3 linked regions of the Alligator mississippiensis genome follow. The main gene of each other region encodes a partner of the protein of the gene in region 2 in a complex. Links are inferred from orthologs where the notes say so. Each region holds a gene or a part of one and is shown on either strand. Other genes may lie near its edges. The genes, in order: FRS2, NTRK2 and NTF4.

The links.
Region 1: the proteins of NTRK2 (region 2) and FRS2 are in contact, whole or in part, in an NMR structure (PDB 2MFQ), measured with the Homo sapiens proteins. The link is inferred for Alligator mississippiensis from reciprocal best matches to the Homo sapiens genes NTRK2 and FRS2. Residues at the interface, in NP_001018074.1 of Homo sapiens: Pro498, Asp499, Val501, Ile503, Gly504, Met505, Thr506, Lys507, Ile508, Pro509, Val510, Ile511, Glu512, Asn513, Pro514, Gln515, Tyr516, Gly518, Ile519; in NP_001036020.1 of Homo sapiens: Val26, Asp27, Asp28, Asp29, Gly30, Tyr59, Leu60, Cys61, Leu62, Arg63, Arg64, Tyr65, Gly66, Tyr67, Asp68, Ser69, Asn70, Leu71, Phe72, Ser73, Gly77, Arg78, Ile86, Ala88, Lys90, Phe98, Gln102, Met105, Gln106, Ser109.
Region 3: the proteins of NTRK2 (region 2) and NTF4 are in contact, whole or in part, in a crystal structure (PDB 1HCF), measured with the Homo sapiens proteins. The link is inferred for Alligator mississippiensis from reciprocal best matches to the Homo sapiens genes NTRK2 and NTF4. Residues at the interface, in NP_001018074.1 of Homo sapiens: Phe291, Glu293, Thr296, Ser297, Asp298, His299, Cys302, Pro304, Thr306, His335, Val336, His343, Gly344, Cys345, Asn350, Thr352, His353, Met379, Gly380, Trp381, Pro382, Gly383; in NP_001382418.1 of Homo sapiens: Gly81, Val82, Ser83, Glu84, Thr85, Ala86, Ser89, Arg90, Arg91, Gly92, Glu93, Leu94, Ala95, Asp98, Ala99, Ser101, Gly102, Trp103, Thr105, Tyr135, Phe137.

The regions. Positions count from the first base shown.
Region 1 is NC_081827.1:69,859,209-69,867,021, reverse strand, and holds the start of FRS2 (fibroblast growth factor receptor substrate 2), read right to left. Parts: upstream 3,185-7,813; 5' UTR 3,050-3,184; intron 1,775-3,049; exon of another isoform or gene 1,621-1,774; intron 1-1,620. UniProt on the Homo sapiens protein: Adapter protein that links activated FGR and NGF receptors to downstream signaling pathways.
Region 2 is NC_081826.1:203,483,692-203,491,350, reverse strand, and holds the start of NTRK2 (BDNF/NT-3 growth factors receptor), read right to left. Parts: upstream 3,126-7,659; 5' UTR 2,649-3,125; coding exon 2,446-2,648; intron 1-2,445. UniProt on the Homo sapiens protein: Receptor tyrosine kinase involved in the development and the maturation of the central and the peripheral nervous systems through regulation of neuron survival, proliferation, migration, differentiation, and synapse formation and plasticity.
Region 3 is NC_081828.1:39,901,747-39,909,679, reverse strand, and holds the start of NTF4 (neurotrophin-4), read right to left. Parts: upstream 3,207-7,933; 5' UTR 2,495-3,206; intron 1,483-2,494; exon of another isoform or gene 1,056-1,482; intron 622-1,055; exon of another isoform or gene 201-621; intron 22-200; 5' UTR 3-21; coding exon 1-2. UniProt on the Homo sapiens protein: Target-derived survival factor for peripheral sensory sympathetic neurons. May promote ameloblast differentiation and subsequent reduction in proliferation of ameloblasts.

The sequences.
Region 1 (7,813 bases), on a different chromosome or scaffold from region 2:
CAAGTATTATTAGCAAGCTAATCTTGTCTGAACCTAGTTCTAGAGTTTGTATCAATGACTGCAAAGTGGCAAACAAGAATGAATAGCAGAGCACCTATTTGCACATAACTGAATGTAAGGTAAAACAGGCTAGAGCTATTTAAAGGCTGCTTAACAAATGGACTAGAATAGAATCTGGTTATTGAAAATACTTTTAGACATAACTACACACGCACAAATCATTTTTGAGAAAATGTTGAGAATTTGCTCTTTGTCCAATGCATCTGCCACTTAAGAACTAACATCTATTTTCACTGAGCTCTGAACTTAGTTTTAGTCTTAACTTAGTAAAGGTCATCTCTAGGCACAGCTACTACCCAACAGAATCATTCTAACTTTTATTTGGTTAATTAGCCTTGCTACTCACAGCCAGTGTATTTTATCCACATTTCTTTTATACGATTGATTTCCAGGTAGAACTGACCTAACATTTCTTTCCACCAAGCTAAGCTGAAATTCACAGTCTTGAAGACCATTTGTGGAGAAGTCCCATAAAACAGCAGCAGTTCAAAACAACAAAAATGACCATTTTGTGTACAAAGCTAAACAACATTTATAAAATAAATTCTCCCCTTTATAACACTACCATGGTTTGTTACATGAGTGAGAGATACATACATTGCTATGCAATATTTAAACAATAAGTTTGGAATCTATGCACATCTTTTTTAGAACTATTTTCCATATTATCAGAATCTAGGATTTTTTCAACACATTATAGAATTACTACACTTGAAGAGGCTGCATAGAAAAGATTACAGTCTTTGGTGGATACAAAGAATGGTCAAAATTTAAATTAAGACGCTGAACTGGAAAGAAAGCAAAATCATGGAAGGAAAAATTAAACATATGAATATGGTTACTGGAATACTGTTTTAATAAGCACTTCCAACACATTTTTGACACAGAAGCACATGTTAATCAGGGGGCAATAATCAAATGAAAGGCAAATGAGAAAGGGACTGAATTTAGAGTTTGATGGGTAATTGCTACCAATATAACATGCATTTCCTTTTTAAAAAAGGAGAGAGAAAAGAGTGTTTTCAGTGCAGTGGAAACTGAGGAATATGTATATGGGACTCCACTTCTAGCTAACTTCAGTACTGATATTGGGCACTTTCTGGAACTGAACCTATACATCTTAATAGCAAAACATTTTAATGCACCACGGAACCATACAAAAACCCATATAGCTTTTCCCCTTCTAGAAACTAGACTGCTCAGCTACTAAATTGCATCCAGAAGAATATTAGTGTAAAGAAACTGCCAATATCAAAGCAGCTTGAAATCGACAACTATTCAGGAAAAAAGTGCATGCTTTCTCTTTCATAAATTCACAATGCATCCACACCTTGAATACTGTACCCAGTTTTGGTCTCCACACCTCAAAAAGGGCACAAGAACCAGAGAAGATCCAAAGAAAGACAATACACATGATTAGCAGTCAGGTGGGGTTTCCATAAGAGAAGACATTAAACAGACTAGGCCTATTAAGTTTAGAAGAGAGATGCTTGAGGGAGGACATCAGGGTTTACCAAAATACTAAATGGCAAAGAGAAAGTAGAGAGATTTATTACTCACCCTCTCACAAGACAAGAACTAGGAGGGTCACAAAATGAAACGAGTAGGTAATAAGTTTCAAATGAACAAAAGGAAGCTCTGTTTCATACAGCATGCCATTGAAGCGTGGAATTCACTGCCATGAGATGTTGCGCAAGTTGACAGCTTAGCCAGACTAAAAAAGAGAGAGGATAAACTCTTGGAGGAAACAGTCATCAGTAGCTACTGAGCATGGGAGTCAGGGGTGCAGCCTCTGAATCAGAACTTCCTAGCCCAGCATTTCTCAGCCCATGGGTCAGGACACAAAAGTGGGTCACAAGAATATATGAAAGGGTCAAGAAGAAACTTTAAAAATGGATCAATAATGGATTCGCCTTTAAAGGAGAAAAACATGGGAAACCGTGGCTTTTCCCTTGCAAGCTGGCAGAGCTCCAGCCTGCAAGGGGCTGCTTGGGCCCCCCTGCCCCACACAATGAGGAACTGGGGTCTGGGGGCAGTGGATCAGGAGTGACAAGCACTGGGTTGGGACTAGCCATCAATGTTTACAAATGGGTCCTGGTACAAAAAAGGTTGAGAACCCCTGCCCTAGACCTTAATGCTAGAGGCTGCAAGTGAGAGAGAAACAGTGGGGAAGGAAAAAACCCTGGTCATACCCAGTTTGGTCTGTCAGCATGCACTCTCTGCCACTATGCAACTGGGAAGAAAGGGGGCCAGTTCCTGCCTGAAGCCCAGTGTGACACAAGAGACCAACCAAAAAGGACCTACAGCTTGACCCAGTCAATAGACATCACTTCTCCTGAAGCCTGTCCAGCAGAATAAGAAAGCATTTGAAGAGCACATTCAAAAAGAAGTTGCTAGGGAAAAAATAAAAAGGAATAAAAAAAGTCGCCCAAAAAGAGCTGGTCAGCAGCACAGAGCACCACAGAGGCCAGGCTGATGCCAAGCCTGACTCGTCCTACCTCCTTCCCCACCGCTAAGCACGATGTTGCACTGTGACTAATCACTCAGGCGCCTCACAGGCGCTCCCTGGTCACTGCCACCTGCGGACAAGCCGTGCGAGCACCGCAGCCGCGGGGGGACCTGCAGCACCACTCCCCCAGGACCCTTCAGCCCCAGGGCACCCGCCGCCAAGCGGGTCTGGGGAACCTCCGGGACAGCATCAAGGGGAGGGCGGGACACCAGGACCCTCCCGGCCTCCGTGTGCGCAGACAGGGCGAGGGGGCCCGCTCCTGCCCCTCCAGGCTCCCGGCTCGAGCTGAGCCGGCAGCAAACGCTCCCCAGACCGGGGCTTCTGCTCTCGCCCGTCGCCTCCCGCCAACCGCCCTGGCCGGCTCCGCTCCCGTCGCCCTGCGCGGGCTGCGGCCGCCGGCGCCTCACGGGTGGGGGGCACAGGGGGAGCCCCGGCCCCAGGAGACTGCGAGCCTGCGCACGGGGCCCTCCCGGCACTCACCTCCGCCATGAGCCCGGGCCTGGCCGCGGGGCCGGGCCGGGCTCCGAGTGCCGCCGCCGCTACCAACAGCAACTCCCAACAGCGGCACCAACAGGGCCTCGCTCTGGGCCGGACTCTGCCCGAACTACTTCCGAGGCACCCCCACAACTACTTCCGGGGGCAGCGGGAAAGGGCCAGGGCGGGGAGACACGGCCAAGGGGCCCGAAGCGGCCGGCGCGGGAACAGCCAATAGGAAGGGAGAGCGACTGGGGGGGGGGTGGTGGCTGCCATGACAACCGCGTATGCAAATCGTTCAGTGAGCGCGTTCAGTGACTGGCTGTTCTTTTGCATGGAGTTGGAGCGCGGGGCAGGCACTGCCCGTGCGACCCGGTGCTGCGGGGCAGAGGGGAGCTGTCGAGGGCCTCGGTGCCGGACGGCGTGCCCGCCCGCCCAGGGACACGGAGCTGGCTCTCGCTGCTTCGGCACGCGGATAGGGCACCAGTAGTATCGGTTCTGCGGGCCGAAGTGGTGGCGCCTGGGGCTGGATTGGCCAGCCGCCTTCCACAGCTCCTAAGCCTGCAGAAATAAGTCTAGGCAGCTGCATCAGAGGCCGCGGGGAAGCCAAGGCCATGTCTGGGGCAACCTGGCAAAAGCTGCAGCTGGTTTTACCCAACATGGAGAGAGCAGGGGGGGTGGGTCTCAGGGCCTTTCTCCTTGGCTGACATCCCGCTGTCATTTTAGGCGGTGCTCTGCTATTTCAGCCCCCCCGCCCCCAGTTTCTCACATGATTTCTTATAAAAAGGGAGGTGACAACACTGGCACTAAAAGGAGAAGTGTAAAGAGGTTTGGAAAACTGCAAGAAAGATACAGGGAAGTAGCACACAGCTGCCTCTGGTCCTCATCACAGCATGACCTTTGGGACCTTCCTGCTTTTAAAAAAGTTTAGGACCATGTCTTTCTTGCTTCCTTTCTGTAGGACTGTCCTGTGGTTCTTCAGGTACTGTCTTGTCAGCGTGCTTGTTAACAGGCGAGATGGGTCACTGTCCTCAGGAGTTTGAAATCTAGAACTGCTTATAAGTGTTTGTGAAATTACCTCTTTTGATCCAGTCAGTCAATATTTGGGAACCTGTGGGATGGGTGTTTCCACAAGGAGGAAAAACTGATGGTGGAGTTGTGTATTTTTTGGATGCAGTTCCATATACTTGCAAAAGAATGCGTGCCGTGCCCCAGGACACAAAAGGAATCAAACTTGCCGTAGTTCCTTTGCATCCCATACTGCCCAAAAAGCTCACCTTCATCCTCCTCTCAGGCTGTACTACAATTGCTTCTCTCTTATTCTCTGCCTGACTTTTTTGCTTCCTCCTCTATCTTCTTCAGGTTGCTGACATGCATCTCCACCACACACTACCAAGCCTCTTACACTTTCACTCAGCAACTCGATTCTGCCCGCTTCAATGAAACTTGTTAATGCTCTGAGTTTGGGTCAGTGGTTCCCTCCGTTGCAGCTGTCATACTTTAGAAAGTAGCTCAAGTGTTTCTTGCAAGATGGCTGTCTCACCTGGCTGCTTCAACAAGTTATTCCCCTGCTTTCTACATAACTATCCCACAGCCAGTCACAGAGGTTACAGTTTACCAAGAGAATTAGGCAGATAAGGTTCTTTGGGTGAATCTGATACCTTTTTATTAGACCAGCTTAACTATTTAAGTTGGTCTAATAAAACATAGATTCACCCAAAGAACCTTGCCTGCCTATGTCCTTAGACCAGCACGGCTACAACCTACACCCCTGTATCAAGAGAATTTGCATTCCTGCAAATTAAGGGAAGAGAGGAAACACATATCTTTCAAAGCACACTCATGCTTTATGCAGCCTTTTCATTGCTCTATTAAGGGCAATGTTTGTGATTCGTCTACTAAAAAAGCCAGCAAATTAAGATACCCTTATTATCGTGCTTGTGCCCATGTCAGCATATGGCTGTGAAATCATGGCACTGCAATCTGTCTAACCCCTTGCAAGTTGTCTCTTAGGATTCCTCAAGGGTTGTTGCAGGGGTGAATGGTCTGCTTTGCTAACAGATTATCTCCAGTACAAACAGTGGTGACCACCTTCTATAGATTTACCACTCCAGAGTTCCTTTCAAGCGATACAATAATTTCTTCCAAGATGAACTTAAACTAAAGTAAAAAGCCACCACCATCTCAAGTTCTTTTTGTTTTTGTGGTAATAATGTCCCTGACTTGTAACCACTGGCATCCGTGTCCATTCTGAAGAGGGTTTTGAAAAATGGGTAGGCTAAAATAGGAGCAAGCCATTTTCAACTCCAAAACAGCTAAATCTCACTTTGCTGGCCCCTAAATGGTTTCCCTCTCTCACCCAAGCTATGCGATGGTTTTCCAGTATTGGCAAACCTACAAATTAATCTTGTATAATAGGAGAAGAGAAGTCTACACATCTGAGTGCCTGGGGAGTTGGCTGGTACAGCACAGCTCCAATTTACCTTTTTGTCAGTAGAAATTGCCCCTCCGCCCCTCAGCGATCCCCACCCCTCCACCCACACCAATTATAAACAATGCACATTTTCTTTGGGTTCAGTTTCAAACTGGAAACTGATCATAAACCATCATTTCCCATTTTAAAGGTGTCAGAATGCTTCATTTGGAGGCTTGCCTGCCTCTTACATCTTTCAGCATAATCTAATATACCCACTGCACACCAATGGTTTACAACTCATTGGCTTTGCCTGAACCATATTTGTAAAGGCAATTTCCACCAACTAAATTCATTGAATGTGTTTCCCGACATTTAAGGCAATAGTGTAGCATAAGAACCAGTACAGAATAGAATAAAATAGAATTTATTTCAGTTATAGCTGTAATAAAATCAAGTCAAGTATTAGCACATCCACTGTGTCTGCTAACCACATTTTGCCCCTTTTTAAATAGGTGTACACTTCTCAACTGTAGTCTCCATTTGAGATGAATTAGATCAAATCCTGAGCTACTTATTTCTTCACAATTTTAGTACAGTATATTTGAGACAATATCCACAACCCCCACACAGCATGCCACAAATCCTATAACACATTTTATAACCAGATTCCCGTTATTGTAGTCTAACTGCCCAGATCTTTAAAAAAATCCTATTGGGGCTGATCTTTATACCTCTAAACATTGTGCTTTCATAATTGGGATTGGGTGAGAGGCTTTCACTAGGAAATTCTGACTCTGTCTTGGGGAGCATTATACATATACTTCACCCATCAGTTCCAATAATGTTTCCTCTCATCTTTTGTCTAGCAATGTGTTCCATTCTTCTTGCAATTGTACTGGCTGTATGTGAACATGTGTACTTGTGGTACCTTTGCTTTAAGGTCACACTGGAAAATTTTCTCGCCAAATGTATGCATAACTTTCTTTTAATTTGGCTTTGACCAGGTTGCCTGTTCATTTCCTTGATGAGCCTATAGAAATATAGATGACAAGTGAAATGCTAAGACTAATTACTCCAAGTTGCTATATGAATTAGCATTTAATTGTCTGTACAGAAGCAAATATACAGAAATGCTTAGAGACAGTGTGCTTCCTAATATGCTTTTATAATGGATTACAGAAGATAACTGACAGTAGGAGTCAGAGCTATTAATCAAACATTTGTTATTGAATACATATGGCATCCATTTTTTAATTCCTTCAGAGAGACATTTATATGATACCCCTAATTTCTTTAACCATAATGTGTAGGAATTGAGAATAGGGTGATTTTGCTAATAACCAAGATGAAAGGTCTGCAAGTGGAATTTATGAACTGCCTACCAATTTAATGTTTGAAAATCCTAAACCCTTAAAGAGAACTCCATAGAACTGAAATTAATAAAAGTTAATATCCTTTATACACATGGACCCAGTCATGAATGGTTAAAGTTAGTGAGAGTTTTGCTATTTATTAGAAAAAACATACAAACTACTGCAGTATGGATAAGACACCATTCTATAAAAAAGAGAGTTTAAGAAGAACACTTCTTTTTTATATAATTGCTTTCTCCAGTTGTAATAAACATGCATTTTATATTATTAAATACAAAAGGCAAACCTTTCTAAAGACATGAGAGTATTGTATGTTAACAGTTTTTGAGGAGCTTCTCACCATTTATTTGAACAGTGAAGGATGAAATAGATGTTTTAAAGTCAATGAAAATATTTCCAAAACATAATACAATTAAGTCTGGTTTATCATGAACAATAATTATATGTTACTCACAAAGATTTTTCCACTCAACAGTAGAACTTATGATAAAACCAAATTTTAAGTTCCCTATCCCTTTAATATAATTACATGCTGAGTAGAAATTTCTGTTTTCAGAGGCTCTTATATCAGCAGAAATAATTTCATGTTGAGCAGTACTGAAAATAGCAAAGGGCAATTCTTTTTGACACAAAAACATTCTCTTCCAGCGATATTAATTCCCTCATTCCAAAAATAAAGTATGTGGTTAAAACTCAAACCACGATTATTAGAAGTTGTGTTGAATTTTCCAGAAACATTAAAACAATGCTGGATATTTCCAACTCAGTTTGAAAAAAAATATATATAAAATTTGGTAACTATTCATTTAACTAATGCCCTGATTCTTTAAACAGCCTTGCATGCTTGAGTGATCCATCTACAGTGATCATGTGTTGATATATTCATGAGCTTCAAAGGAAAAGAAAACATGTACATTTTTATGGGGAAACAGCAATGATTTTTTCTAATGCAAAGATTCATTCACAGGCTTAGCAGTATTC
Region 2 (7,659 bases):
AATGTGAAGTTTTCAAAGTGTAACACAAGAAAACATGCTTTAGGTTGGCCCATCTTGCAAAATATATATGCATTTATTATTTTGTTTTATTTCTGGCCTATCACCAGACATCACCTCTAAATTAAAGCTATTTGATAATAAGGAGGAAGGCAAAGCAGCAAAAAACAAGTAGCAATGCATGGCATAAAGTGTCTTTTTTAATTCACATTACAAAAAATGTGGAATAAGCTCTGAAATGATCCTTGCCATACCAGACTAGAAATGGTGCTCCATTGTCTCATGTCAATACAAAAATACTAGGATCTATTTAATGTAGGCCCTGCAAATAGTAATTACAGTAAATGCCACCAGCCTTTCCCTCTGCCATGCACACACATAGGTAAAAGCAGCAAAGGGTCTACAATGAGCAGCACAAAGCCAAATGGGAAGAATAAATCAAAAGTTATAGTGAATTACATGGGATTTTTCATTCTAAAAAGGGAAAGGGGATGGTGAGGTTTCTATGCAATTTTTGGCAAAAAAAAAGTATGTTATATATTAAAAACACTGTAAAAAACAATCCAGGAACAGGAAGGGGAAAGAGAAGAAGGGGGTAGGCAAGGCATCCATAGCAGTCTTTTCCATCTCTAACTTCTATTCTTTGATTCAAACTCAGAGTCTTTTAACTCTGATGCCTCTCTCAGACAAAATACACTGACTTCAATGAAAATGTGGCCTGAGTATAAAATGCAGGATTGGACCACAAACAAGTACAGACCCCACTACTTGAGTGTCATCTGCAGTCTGGCTAACAGCAATTCAAACAACATAATGGCTCAGGTAGAACACTTGTCAAAGCCTTATAAATGATGAGGGAATTTACAAGGGAAATACATGTTATGTACAACTAGGGGAAAATGAGTGATTCTGAACTGATACATAGAATTGATGTTGCAGCCTTTCTAAGCTACCTTACAGACAAGGAGCAAGTGCAAAACAGTGTCCATGCATATTACCAAGTGAGGTTGGATGCAAGGGGAAAGAATCACCTATTCAATGTACTGTCAACAAAAAGATGGACAGTGTGCATTAATTACTTAGAGATCTACAACAATTTGTAAGAGAAAGGGATAAAACAATAGCTAATGAATTGCCTACTCCTAGCAAAATCTGTCAAGGATTTATTATTATTATTATTATTATTATTATTATTATTACACATTGGTCATGTACTAAAATCAGTACCAACCTATGGGCTGTATGGCTTTATCATCCAACTTATTCCCAGGAAATTGTAGCTGGGGGCAATTAAGATTTATAATCTAAATGGCTTTGAAATGATATCTCTTGAAAGTCAACCCTAAATTAAATCACGCTGGGCTTTTAGGCTTCCAACTCTTGCATTGTTTCTTATTGAACAAGTGCATTTCAATGCACGGAACTTCTCAGCTTGACGGATCACTTCCCAAATCATCTCAACGGTGTTCAGCAAAACCTCCTTGTTCTTTCTTGTGTGTGCATGTGTGCGTGTGTGCGCATGGGCATGTGCACATATATGTAGATGTGTGTGCCTGTTTATATATATGTGAGTGGGAATGTATATAATGTGTGCGTGCCTCTGTGTGCATATGCGTGTATGTATATATACACTACTGTGTATGTGTGTGTGTATTATATATATATATAATACACACACCATATATATACATACATGAACACAAATATACATATATCTATATTCGTGTGCATGTATGTATATATGTACATGTATTTTAAACATACGTGTGTGTGTGTGTGTGTGTGTGTGTGTGTGTGTGTGTGTGTAGAGGGCTGCAGGGAAGACTAGTATTAGCCATATATATAATATATATAAAATATAATATATTAGCCATATATGTATCTGATATATATATATGTCTAATATCTAATATATATACACATATAAGTGTATATATATGATTATACACATGCACAGATATATATAGATCTATTCCCTACCCATACATATCCATACCATATTCCATACTCCATATCCATGGATATTCCATACCATATCTATACTCTATATCTATCTAGCTATCTATCTGTATGTGTATATAATATATACACATATTTATGTTTATATTATATTATATTATATTATATCCTATATAGGGCTAATATATGTATCTATACCTAGGGCTAATGGTAGATAGAACTGGTGCTTGAGTGATCCCGAAAGGAAAGCGTCAGCCTCGGGGGCGAGCGAGGCAGAGGGGCAGCGGGTGTCTCTGCTGAGGCGCCCGGAGCTGCCCGCCCGGCCCCGGCCCCGGCCCCGGCCCCGGGGAAGAGGGGGCCGTTGCCCCGCGGCGCAGACAGACGTGCAGAGCAGGGCCGCGCGCCGGGCAGCACGACCCGGGGGCTCCCTCCCCGCCCGTGCCCCGTGCCCCGTGCCCCGTGCCCCGCCCCGCCCCGGCCGCTACTCACATGTCGCTGATGTTGTCCCGCTCCGCGCTCCTCTCCAGCCGCGGGAAGGACACGACGCCCGGCGCGGGCTCCGTGCACCAGATGCGCCAGGCGCTGCAGCGGCAGGACGTGGGGCAGGCCAGCAGCCCCGGCCAGGAGCCCAGCACCAGGCAGCACAAGCCCCACAGCCCGGGGCCCTGCCACCGCCTTCGCCACGGCCCCATGGCTGGGCCCCTTCTTCCCTGGGCGCGGAGCTTCAGCGTGGCATCGGGCCCGGCCTCACATGGGCTGCGCGGAGCAGCGCCCGGCCCCAGGCACCGCCCGCGCCCGCGCAGCACCTGCCGCCGCGGATGCTGCAGAGCCCGGCGGCGGGGGCAGGTGGCGGCGGCGGCTGCTCCTACCTGCCAGGGGGGCTCGGGGCCGGCGGCTTCCCGCCCCGTCTCCTCCCTCCGCCTGATAATAAAGCAGCCCGGGCTCGTGCGCTGCAAGCCCCAGCCCGGGCGCTGCCGGCGAGCTGATTACGTGGGGCTGACGCAGAGAGGGGCAGAAACTCCACCAAATCAGCCAAAAAAAAAAAAAAAAAACCAAGACAAAAGCAACAAGGGGGGGCGGTTTGCAAGGAGATACCAATAGGCGGCGGCGCCGCGCGCGCGGAGAGAGCGCAGCCCGCAGCCGCGTGCCCCTTCTTGGGGCTGGCAAGGGGGCAGCGTCCGCCCGCAGCTCCCTCCCGCCCGGGCTCCAGCTCAGCCCCTGCCCAGAAGCCCCCCGCTCTGGGGCTGTGCAGCTGAGCACGGGGGGCTGCACTCGAGTCCCACCCGCCCCTCATGCTCTGTGAATCTTTTTTTTTTTGGACAGCTCAGGGGCTCTTCATCTCCCCCGCCCCGCCCGCCTTGCACCACTCCCGGGCCCCCGCCAGCTTCTCAGGCACCCTCTGGGCTGGAGGAGGGACGGCCCCGCGCCTTCCCCAGCCCGAGCCCGCTGCCGCATCCCCCCTCCGCCGCCCCCCGTGCTCCCCAGGGACCTGCTCCCCTCTCCTAATCAAAGGGAGCCCTTCTCAGCCCTCAGGTGCCTGAGGAAGGACGGACATTCCCTTGTCTGGGAATTTGGGCTTTTCATTAGTGGCTCCAGAGGTTGGGTTTTTCTCCCTTACTACCCCCCCGCCCTTCCCATCACCCCTTTTTTTTCCGCAGTCATTTAAAAGAAAATCCACCGCAGTGCCTCAGACTTCAAAGAGCTGAGGCGCCACCCCGTGCCTCGCAGCCTGCACTGCACCCGCCTGCAGCCACCCCGGGTGCCACCTGCAGAAAGCCTTGGCTCCTGCGTTGCCTGATTCCACACCTCGCCACCCTCATGCCCCTCAAGGGAACTGGGCACGGGGTGTTGTTCCCAGCCCTGCGGCCTTTTGTTAAGTCCTCTCATTAGGAATCTTGTTTCACCATCAGTGGCAGATTAAGATTTACTGGGACCCTGGACAAACAGAAAATTAGAGGACCCCCACCTCTTGGCGAGGGCAGGTTGGCTCTAAGCCCACCAGGGGGCTGTGGCTGGGCCCATCCCACCTCCTTGGCATGTCCGGGACAAGTCAGGGGGCTTGAGTGCTGCTGAAGTGAAGGCCATGGGCGACTGGCGTCAGGGGGTGTGCTTCAGCGGCCAGTCAGCAACCGGGAGTGGGGTCCCCCCGCAGCTGACTGCGCCTACCCCAATTGCGCCAACCAGCAGCCAATCGTGCTGACCCGGAAGTGCCAACAGCATGCCCAGGTGTGCCAGCGGCATGCTGACCTGAAAGTGCCAGCGGCGTGCCCAGAAGTGCCAGCTGTGCTACTCCTGGTGCCCCCACTCCCTGGCTGGCACTCACAGGGGGGGCACCAGTGCTCCCTTCTGCCCTCCCTGCCTGTCACCTAAGTGGGGAATGCTGGTTGTCAAGGGGTGCACCAGTGCTCTCAGGGGGTGCACGTGCACCCCTGTGCACCCCCTATGCATCACCACTGGTGAAGGTGACCCCAGACCCAGTCTGGCTGGGCCCCTCTGCCTGGCAGATCTTGTGCAGCCAGAGCTGCAGTCACCCAGCACTGCAGGGCAGGCCAGGACACAAGCTCTGTACCACCCCCAACTGCATGCCAGCCCACCCCTCTGCCCTGCCTGATGGGGCGGAACTGTCCCACCCTGTCTTGTCCCAGTGGCATTGATGCCAGTGGCCGCCTGCAATGGTGGGGAGTGAGAGCAGAGCTGCCCATGGGGCTTCTGGCAGCAGACAGGTCTGGGAAGCAACCGCTGCCTCCAAGGAGCCTGGCACCTGGCCCTAGCCCCTGGCCCTGGCCCAGCCTGAGGGAAGGAGGAACACACTGCCTGCCCCAGATGCCTGCAGCCAGGATGGCTGCCTGGGCCATGCTGCTACTGCACCCTTGGGGCCCCTGATTGGCAGGGGCCCCTGGACCCAGGCCCTGTGGGTCCATGCGTTAATCCAGCCTTGATCACACGAGAGTAGGATCCAGCTCCCATGTTTAATTATAGCTGTTCAGGCCGACTTTTCCACAGTGGGAGATGAAAAAGAAGAAAATTCCTGTGTCCACCAAACAAAGGGACTTTCATGGTTTGGTTTGGTCTTCATTGGGTTTGTTAAAATACAAATCTCAGGGTAGCCAGTCTTGAGCAATCCACCTGCTGAGCACAAGATGTGCTAAACTCTGGGCCCTTGAATGTCATTTCTTTTAGAGTGGCCTTATGTAGTAGCCTGCACAAAAGATTTCATGTCTTTTGGATGTTGGGCTTGCACATCACATTTTCTACTGTACGTGCAGCCAGATCGGACATCTCTGCAGGTAGTGAGGCACTTAACAGGTCCTCATTAGTAGGTGTATGTCTGGGAGTGGCCAGTTCAAGCTGAATTGTGTTTATGTAAAATTAAAGTTTTGGTCTCATACCATTCATTCTGCAGTTGTTCTCTGTCCTTCTCCAATCCTGATCTTCTGCCAAATAGCCAGTGACCAGTCACCTTCCATGTTGGCTTCCAATCTGTTAGGTAAAATCTCACCATTTTATAGAAATGACATTGAGGGCCTTTTTTATCTTAATTTCATATATGTATATTCCAGCTCAGTCCTTTGATGTAACCAACTCCCATTTCACTGGGGAATTAGAGAGAAAAAAGCTACATAGGCATTGTTAAGGAAGCATAAAACAAGAGGTGATCACGATGTTTAGAAAGTACTCATGAGTCAAGTTGGCACTGCACTTTTATTAATTGCATAAGCACTTAGCTTTGCCTGAATCTACTTAGGCTTCAGGAAACATTTGATTCGCACTGGATGTGCTCAAAGGCTTAACACAGGCGTAATCACTACCACATAAAAATTACATCATCTTATTAGAATAGTCATAACCATATTAGTAACATTATACCTCTCTTTAATGGAATGAATGAGCATATGATAAACAGACATAATTGAAAATATTGCCAACAATGTTATCTTGTTAAATTAATTTTTTTTCAATCTGCATAAAGGTGATAAAAATTGTTATCCAGACATAAATCTTCTTTTCAGAGTACATCCCCTTCTTGCCAAGTGCTTAACTATGTCATTTCTAAAAACAATAATGGGAACAATCTCAAAATAGTCCTGAAGAATAATATGAGGATTGGGTACCATATAACAACCTGAAAAAAAATAGAAAATGAACTAATAGCATAAAATAAAGTAGAAAATATTTCTGCCTACAGCAATAGCTGGTTGCAAATGTTTTGCTGAAGACTTCTTTTTTTTGGTCAAAGTATACATTTTTTTTTCTAAACAGAAATGGTTTACAAAAAACATACCTATTCTAATTAAAGTTTTCATATGATTGTTTCTTAGATCCCAGCTGGACTTTCTGAAGAGAAAAAGATCAAAACAGATGTTTAGACATAAATCCATTTTGCGAAAACTTCTGAAAGGTTTTGTTTTAGTTTTATTTTAGAATTAAAACTAATTTCAAAACATTGAACATGGTTGCAAAATAGAATTTTTATTTTTTTAATGGTTGTTCAGCTCACAACCTTTATACATGTGTTTCTTTTGCCTTTTACTGCCTTTGATGAACGCATACGTTGTACAGGAACTGTTTGTAACGGGGATTTTGTGTTAGCGAACTGGCATCTCCTTTATCACTCTTTCTATACACCAGCTTCCACAGTAAAATATCTGAGAATTCACAGATATTGGTAAGGCCACTGATTTAACAGAAAATGATTTGTGTCTTGCCTTCATATCTGTTTTGTGATAACTCTACCCTTTGTAAATGTTCATGTTCTGGAGCAGTGGTTTCCAAACTGTGGCCTGTAGACAACTGTTGATTCATGAGTCCTTTCCAAAGATCTGCAGACCATACACACCTTTTCATTTTAAAGTTTGATAAGAGTGCATGGCATTCTCTGAGAAATGTTGAGGGTTGATAGTGGTCCTGTTTGTCCCTAATTTGTCATTTTCTCCAAATACAAAATTTGTGGGGGTCTCTCTTATGCTGGCTTTGCACCAGTATAAATCCATTAATGTGCACCACTCAAAATCAGGCATGTTCATCCCAATTAATAAGAGTACTTCCATCAGTGCTATTAAAAATTCAGTCTATATTTGGGAGTGGCTTGGTTGTTTTACTGTCGTTAATGGAACCACTGTTAACACATTGCCAAAGGATCCAAAAAAATGTTTGTGGATTTAACTGATATCTTTAAAAGCTGGGATAGAAAAAGCCCTAAAAGACTTACTGTTGGGAATTCTCTTGCATTAGCACATAGTGTACCTAATTATTTCCTAGGTGTAAGCTGACCTGGGAATATAACTTCTACCCTTGTTGGCATAATTATTTTAAAAGATGTCCCATCTCACTATTAAGAAGAAAGAACAATTCTGCTTCCTCTCAGCTCCATTCAGCACAGGTTGTGACCCACTGATGAGATCTCCAGGAAGGAAAAAGTATCAAAAACCCATAACTTCCTCATACCGGTTGCCTGCCTTCTTCCTGTTCTGATTGCTGCTTTATCTATCAACGTTGTATTCAGTATTGGCAACTTTACTTTTCAGGGGCATGGGAAGGGAGGAAAGAACAGCTGGATCTCAGTGGAGGTAACAAAATGTGTCAATTATGGTCATTTTAGATCTATCAAAATCATTATTTTATATTGCCACTCTGGTGGTGGCTTCTAAGCAGCTTAGCTACAATACAGTGTTTCTTGCAGGGCAGGAAAGAGGCAGAACTGCC
Region 3 (7,933 bases), on a different chromosome or scaffold from region 2:
ATCACTGGGCACCCAGGGGACCTGATCGGAGGGAGAGCAGGGTTAGAGCAGGGGTACCCAGCACCGAGATACAGCTCTATCCCCTGCTACATCCCAGCCCTGGGACCCAGCACCTAGCCATGCCCCAGTCCCCCCTATATCCCAGCCCTGGGACCCAAGGGAGGGCCTGCAGGTTGGGAGCGAGAGGCCTTAGGTGTTACCTGCCAGCTTAGTGGGGGTCTCGACCACGTTGCTCCCAGAAGTCCCGGGCCCTGGTCCGATTCATGTCCCTTCCGGTATTGGGCCCAGCAGAGTGCTGCAGCCTCTTCCTGATCTCCCCAGGGCAGGTGATGGCTGGGGGTCCCCCAGGCTCTGCTCCCTGCCCCCCCGCCCCTCCCGGGTCCTACCAGGCACCAGGGCTCTGTATCAGGACCCCCACAACCCTGGGGGCCTCACCAACCAGCCAGTCCTGGCCTGGGCACCCCATGGGCTCAGCAGCAAGTGGGGGGGTCTCAAGGTCAGCCTGACTTAGGGGGCCCCTCCCAGGGGGTCTGGAGCATCTACCACACTTGGGGGGTGAGGAGTGTTTGGGGGGGTTCAGCCAGTCAGGGGGGCTGGAGCTGGGGCTGTCACTCAGAAGACCTGGGAGGGAAGAGAAAGACAGAAAAGCTGTTGGCTGGAGTGAGAACCCAGGTGTCTGGGCTCCCCCCACCCCCTGCTGTAAGCAGCCCCCTCAGAGCTGGGTGAGGACCCAGGGTTCCTGGATCCCTGTGCCCTGACTCGCTAGATGTATTTGCAAAGCTGGGGGTGAACCCAGGCATCCTGGTACCCAGTCCCCCTCCCCCCGTCCCGTGTTGGCTGAGAACAGGTAGCTGGGTGCATGGGGGATGTGGGGGAGGTCCCGGGACAGCTGCCTGCTGGGTTTCAGTTTCAAAGGCGGGTCGGATCAGCCCCCAACTCGACCCCGACGCCCTCCCCAGATGTGCCTGCATCTGGATTCCATTCACTGCCCCCGTCCCCCCCCTTCCCGCAGCCGCCAGCTTTGGAATCCACCACCAGTGACAGAGGCCTCCAACCTGCCCTGACGGGGGCCGGGCTCCGCTGGAGCTGGGGGGCCGAGTCCTGGGGGATGGGCTGGGGGTGGGCGCCGCGTCCACCCCCGCCTGGGCCCGGGCTGGTCTGTGTCATGGGGTTTAGAGGCGGGGGCTGTCCACGCAGCTCCAGCCCCTGGAGCGAGCCCCGGGGGGGCCGTGTCCACGGGGCTGCGCTTGGCTCTATGGGGTGTGGGCCGGGGGGAGGCAGCCAGGACGCCCAGCGCGGGGGGACTGCGAGAAACCCCCGCCCTGCTCCCAGAACTGTGGGGGGCGGGGCCGGCCCGGGGCGATTTGCATACCGCGTTACCCACAATGCCTGGCGCCCTGACCCCGCTGGGGTGGGGGCGCTGACAGATCCGTGCGAGCGCCCCCGCCCCCGCCGCGAGCGACTGCAGCGAGTGCCGGCCTGTCTCGGCCCTCTGCCTCCCCCAGCCCTGCCGGTGCCCCGCACTCCTAACCCGCAGGCCCTGTCCCCCTGGCTCTGCCGGTGCCCTTCACTTCCGACCCATAGCCCCCGCCCTTCCCAGTGCCCCTCTCCTCCCGCCCTACTGCCCCCCCCGCCCCCCCCTCAGACTACAGGTGCCCTCACTCCCGACCTGCAGCCCCCTTGCTAGCCCCAGCCGGCTATGCCCTGCCAGGGCATATCACCAGGAGCAGGCAAGGTTTCTGGACGAGTGTGCAGGATTGGGCCGCGGGCAGGGAAGAGGAGTCAATCTGTGCTGCTTGGGGTCAGGGTGACAGGTGTGAGGAGTGGGGACCCTGTGCCAGGCCTGGGTACTGGAGAGGGGGCAAACCCACCAGAGCTGAAGGTGCATCCAGGGCCTTGCTGTGACCAGAGCCCCCCCCCAGCTGAGAAAGAACCCAGGTGTCCGGGCCCCAGGCTCACCAGGCCCCACACCCTTCCCAGAGCAGGGAGAGAACCCAGGTGTCCAGGGCTCCCAGCCCCCATGTAGGAGCCTGGGCGGGGGGAGGGGGAGTCTGTCTGTCTGGCTGTGTATCTGTCAGGGGCCTGACTCACAGCTAATGCAGCCCAGGCCCTGCAGCCCCTCCCTGGGAGACCTCAGAGGCTCCATCCCTCTCCACCAGCTGCTTCCCATTGAGGGCGGCCTCTGCCTGAAGGTGAGTGAGGGAGGGGGGAGGCCAGGAATCCCCCACCCCTCCGCCTGCCAGGAAGCTCCCCACAGCCCAGGCTCAGGCAGGGAGGAACCCCCCCCAACCCCCAGCATGAGTTTACAGGGACCCAGAGCACACAGGAACTCCCCAAGGACCCCTGCCATAAATGCAGCCCCGCTGGTGCCCCTCATCCCTGACCTGCACACCCCAGGTGCCCCTCACTCCCAACCTGCACCCCCTTCTAGCTCTGCCGGTACCCCAACCCGTAGTCCCTTGCTCCCACTCTACAGGTTCCCCATCACACCTACCTGATCTCCTTTGCCTTCTCTTCCCCCTCCAAAGGCTGGGAGCCCGGATGCCTGGGTTCTATCCCCAGCTCCTCTGGGAGGTGTCAAGGCATGTGGGATGGGGAACGGACAGACAGACAGACAACTCCCCCAGTTACTGGGCACAGATCCTGGCCCTGGCCCTAGCCCCAGCGTGCGCAAGAGAGCCTTTGGGTTTCAACATGAAAAGTTAATAAAGTCGCCGCCGAAGGGGCTGGTTTCGGTTTTCTGGGCAGCGATTGAATGGCAGGGCGGGGAGAAGGGGGGGGCGCGGGGCCTGGGATGGGGGGGGCCTGGCATCCCCCCTGGCTTTGATCTCCGAGTTATTGGGGAAGAAACAGAGGGGGAAGAAGGGAGGAGGCAGATGGGGTAGGGGGGCTGGGGGAGATGGGTGAGGGGGCTTGGCCAGTGGAGGGACCTGGGGGGGAGTCCTGTACTCCATGCCCACTTGCCTGCTTCTTCCCCCACCCCACCTGCCTCTGGGTGGGGGCACAATAGGGGCACCTGATCCTTCTCCCCCACCCCCTCTCCTTCCCCGGGATCTGGCTTTGATTAAGGTCCCAGGGCGACTGGGTGATGATGGGGTCGGAGGCCAGGGGGGCAGAGAACCTTCCCCCCCACCCCTGCCATGGGGCATGCCAAAGCCACCAGAGGGCAGAGCCAAGGGGGCACAGGTGCCCCCCGCCCAGCCCAAACCAGAGGCTCCCCCCAGGAGGGCAGGGCCTGGCTCACCTGAGCCAGGCAGCGCCGGGGCCCGCCCCCTGAAGCCCCCTACCCACCCCTCCCTTCCCCACCTACACCCAGTTCCCATCACTTCTCACCCGTGAAACCTGAACCCCAGACCCCCCCTGCGTCTGGGGGCCAGAGAGAACAAAGCAGCCGGCTCCTCTGCCAGCCACCCCCCAGGGACCCCAGACCTGTCTGGCCTCCTCTTTTCATCTCCCTTTTGTCCTGCTCTGTGTGTGTGCGTTTGGGGGGGGGCTGAGCTGGGGCGTGGGTGCATCTCCTATTACCCAGCCTGGCCAGGCTGGTTTTATTGGAGGGGGCGATGAGAGAGAGTCCGGCCTACCTGAGCCTGACATACCCTTCACACCTCTTGCAGCCCCCCAGAGCCAGGGATCCCGGGGGGGGGCAGGATGGGGGGGGCGTTTCACACACCATCTCGGAGCAGTAGGTGAAACCATTTAAGCTGCCTTCCCCCTGCTGGAGTTTCTCTGGAGGGAAAAAACTTATGGAAATGTCTTCCCAAAAACCCCATGAAAAGATCACCTGGGTTTGTGGATCCCCAGGGTGGGGGTCACTACAGGGTGGGCTAGCTATGCATACGAGCAGTGGGTGAACACCCCCCAGTGCTTTTCTAGGGGATATAAAAAACCTATGGAAATGTCTTCCCAAAAACTCCATTAAAAGGTCCCCCAGGATGTGGGTCCCAGGGGTGGGGGTCACTATGGGGTGGGCTAACTAGAAGAATGAGCAGTGGGTGAAGGGCCTATGGGGGCTTCTCCTGGTGCTTTTCCTGGGGATTCCAGTAAATAAATAAAATAAGTAAAAGTCTTGCCAAAAAACTCTGTTAACAGATCGTCAGAGGCCATCTATGCCCAGGGTGTGTGTGTGAGGGGTGCGATGAGGCATTGTGTCCTATATTGTGTGTGTTTTGTTGCATGTTGTATGAGCATGTTTTGTGTCATACATTGCGTGTGTATTTCATGTACTCTGGACCTGTACACATGTTGGCATATGCTGTCTGTGCATGTGTGCATTGTCCTACAGTGTGTGTGTGTTTGTGTGAGAGAGAGAGAAACCCCTGCTGGAGGGCATGTGTGTGTGACCCCCTGCTGGAGGGAGGGGTGTGTGTGAGAGCCCCCCTTCTGGAGCACATAGGTCCCACTCCATGTATGAGCCTGCATGTGCTGCCCCCTGCTGGAGGGGACAAGCCAAACAAGTGTGTGTGTGCATAAGCCTGCTGTACACTGGGAAGATAAAGTTGTATGTGTGTGTGTGTGTCCAGGTGCAAAGGGGTTCTGAGGGGGGGGCATGGGTTGGGCTTGTCCCTCATGGTGGTGTGGGGGGGAAAATGTTTGCTGGTCATTTGGTTGTACTTGGAGACAAGGGCGGGGTGGGGCGGGGCTGGGTGGTGAGGTGGGAGGTTGTGTGCACCTGTGGGGGGGGTGTGTGTGTGCATGTCTGGGGGTGCATGTTTGCATGTGTTGGTGTATACATGTATGTATGTGGGTGTATACATGTATGTGCATGTTTGGGGGGCTGTTGTATACATATGAGTACATGTCTGGGGTATGTATGTGTTAGTGTATACACATGTATGTGTGCGTCTGGTGTGTGCATCAGTGTATACATGTGTGACAGATGCATGCATATGTATGATTTATACACAGTTGTGTGTGTGTGCTGGGCATGTGTGTGCATGTGTCGGTGTATACATGTGTGCCAGTGTATACACAAATGCATGTCTCTGGGTGTATCCATTGGTATATACACGTGTGTGTCTGCAGGGTGTGTGCGTGTCTGTAGGTGCACATGGGGGCAAGGGGGGAAAGCTGCAGGGTGCTGCGGTGCTAAGGGGTTTGGGGGTCTGTGCCACATGCCGGGCTGATGGATCTAGGGGGCGGAGGGTCAGGCCCTCCCCCCGCCTGTGCGTTCCTGGCCAGGAGCCATTTTCAGGCAGTGCTTGGGTGGGGCCAACGTGTCCCGACGAACCCCCAGCCCCCCCCAGGCTGCATTCCATGGGGCTTACGGGGTGGGACGCCAGAGTCCCAGCACAGTGCCCAAGGCAGGGAACTCCCCCACCCTGCCTGTGCCCCTTACTTTTGACCTGCAGCCCCTTGCCCCCCAAAATCCCCGCCAGTGCCCCTCACTCCTGACTCACAGCCCCCCACCCCCTTCCCCCCCTCTCCCCCTGCCCCCAATTGCAGAGTAGGGTGTGGGGGCTGAGGGAAGGTGAGTGCTGAGCATTGGTGCTGCCTCCTGGTGGCTGGGCATTGTGTGGGGGGAGTGGAATTAATTTTGGGGTGACAAAAGGAGCAGCCACAGCCAGAAGGAGGTGCTAGAAGGATCCTGACCTCTGTAAGTGATGAATATGACCTCACTCAAGGCCCCCTGGATCCTTCCCAGCAGAGACAGAACCCAGGCCACCGGGCTGCCAGCTCCTCATCCCAACCCCCAGCCCTGGCCCCCCCTGGCCCCTCCAGAGTCAGGCTAGAACCCAGGCATCTGTGCTCCTGCCACCCCTAGACCCCATTGCTTTCGCAGAGCCAGGGTAGAACCCCCCCCCAACACATGTGCATGCATACGCACATGCACATGCACATGCACAAGCACACGCACTCTCTCTCTCTCTCTCTCTCTCTCTCTCTCTCTCTCTCTCTCTCTCTCTCTCTCTCTCTCCCCCCCCCCCCCCAATAGAGACAGCTGTTTTATCTTTTAAAACAGGACTAATAGGAAAAACAAGGCTGAGGTTTGGAAGCTGGGGAAGATGGAGCAAGGAGGGGTTAGGGACAGCCAGTGGGGACCAGGGTGGGGAACAGGTACTCACCAACCCCTGGACCCCCACGACCAACCAGCCTCTCACCCACCAGGGCTTTTTTATGGCCCCTTGTCCCATAGTGTTTTATATTAAAGCCATAAGGAAAGCCAGGGGGGGAAGACGGGCCTTGAAGGTGGGGGGAGACTGGGGCAGTCTCAGAACGCGCCCTCCCCCCCCAGGTGATGGGTCTCTATTCATCCCTGCAAGGAGGAGGTCAGTGGGGCTTGGTCTTAGGTCCACTTGTACCCCATGGGGTTAGTGAGGAGTTTCTCCCTTCCTTTTCTCCCCCCAGGAGAGACCAACACCAGCTTCCCTCTAGGGTTGTGGGGGGTATGAGTGAGGGGAACCCCCCCTCCACCAGCCATGCCATGCAGTCAGCTCTGGAGTGGAATGGGCCCATGGGGGTGGAGGGTATATACAGCCAGCCCTTGGCTGCCTGCTCTGGGAGGGAAGGAGTTAATCTCCTCCCCTGCACTGGGGGCAGCTGGTTCTGCTCAGACTGGTTTTATGAAGAGCAGGACTGGGGCCTGGGGCTTCCTGAAAGGACCTGACCCTTTAGAGAGGGGGGCACAGGCTGCTACAGCTGCTACACAGTGAGAGGCACCCACAGGGCTGGGGGGCAGGGGGCTGCTGGTTGGGTGTGAGAAGCACCAACAGGGCTTGGGGGGACGGGGGGCTGCGGTTGGGAGTGAGGGGCACTGGCAGAGCTAGGGGGGCAGGGGGCTGCAGGTCAGGAGGGCACCAGCAGGGCTGGGGGGCAAGGGGCTGCTGGTTGGGAGTGAGGGGCACCAGGGAGGCCTCCTGGGTGGGCAAGGTCACAGTGGGTGGGGCCCACAGCATCTCCCTTTACCCCATTCACCCTGAGGAACGAGTCTGGCTGCTTCCTCTGCCTAAGCAGAAACAGGTCCAGGGAGTGAACCCCTGCCTCCCCTCTCCAGCCCTGACCTCCGACTTTTGACCTACCCTAAACCCAGCCCTTAGAAGTCTAATTGCAACCAGGGAGGAAGAGCCAGAGGCGGCTGCATCTCCTTGGACAGATTAGAGCCCCTGTATAGCCTCCCTCTAATTTACCCCACCCCAAAGGCAGCTGCATCTCAGCATTGGTTGAGGAGGTGTCGTATAACCAGACTGTAATGTGCCTACCCCAGAGGTGGCTGCATCCCAGGGTCCCGCACCACGTCCAGCCCATAGCCAGGCTTGGGGTGTGTGTGGCACAGGACTGGCAGGGCTAGACACCAGGTCAAGCAGGTGCATGGGCATGTGGGCTATGGTGTACTGTGTGTGCACCATGGTGCTGACAACCATGCTGGGTGTCATCCTGATCCTCACCATCCACCTGGGCAACCCCAAAATAAAGCAGGCTCTGGGCATGGGCAGGCACAGCAAGGAGGTCTCCAGCCTGGACACCTTCCTGGACCTCATCCACAACCTTTTCTCCAAGAACCTGGTGCAGGCCTGCTTCCAGCAGGTAAGGGCATCACTGCAGGGTGGCGGCACTGGGTGTTGGGCTCTGTGCTCAGTGTTCCCTCCCTGTTGGGTGTGCAGGGCTTGGGACCCACATCCTCTCTACCACTGGCACAGGAACCCTCTGCTGGTACCTCGCAGCCAGATGCGCCTCCCCCTCCTTCCCCGCAGATGTTCTGCAGATGCTTTAAGCAGCTGCTGCCTCCATGTCTCACTGCCCACACCTCCCCTGCCCAACCCCCATCACCTGCCCCTGGCTTTTGGAGGAAGAACGTGCCCCCCTACTCCTGCAAAAAATCAGGGCAATAGGGTCTGGCGTGCTGGTGGTGGTGGGGGTGGTCTGGAAGCCAGGACACCTGGGTTCCTCGCAGCTCTGGAGGGGCTCAGCAGGGGGCTGGGAGCCAGGACTCCTCAGT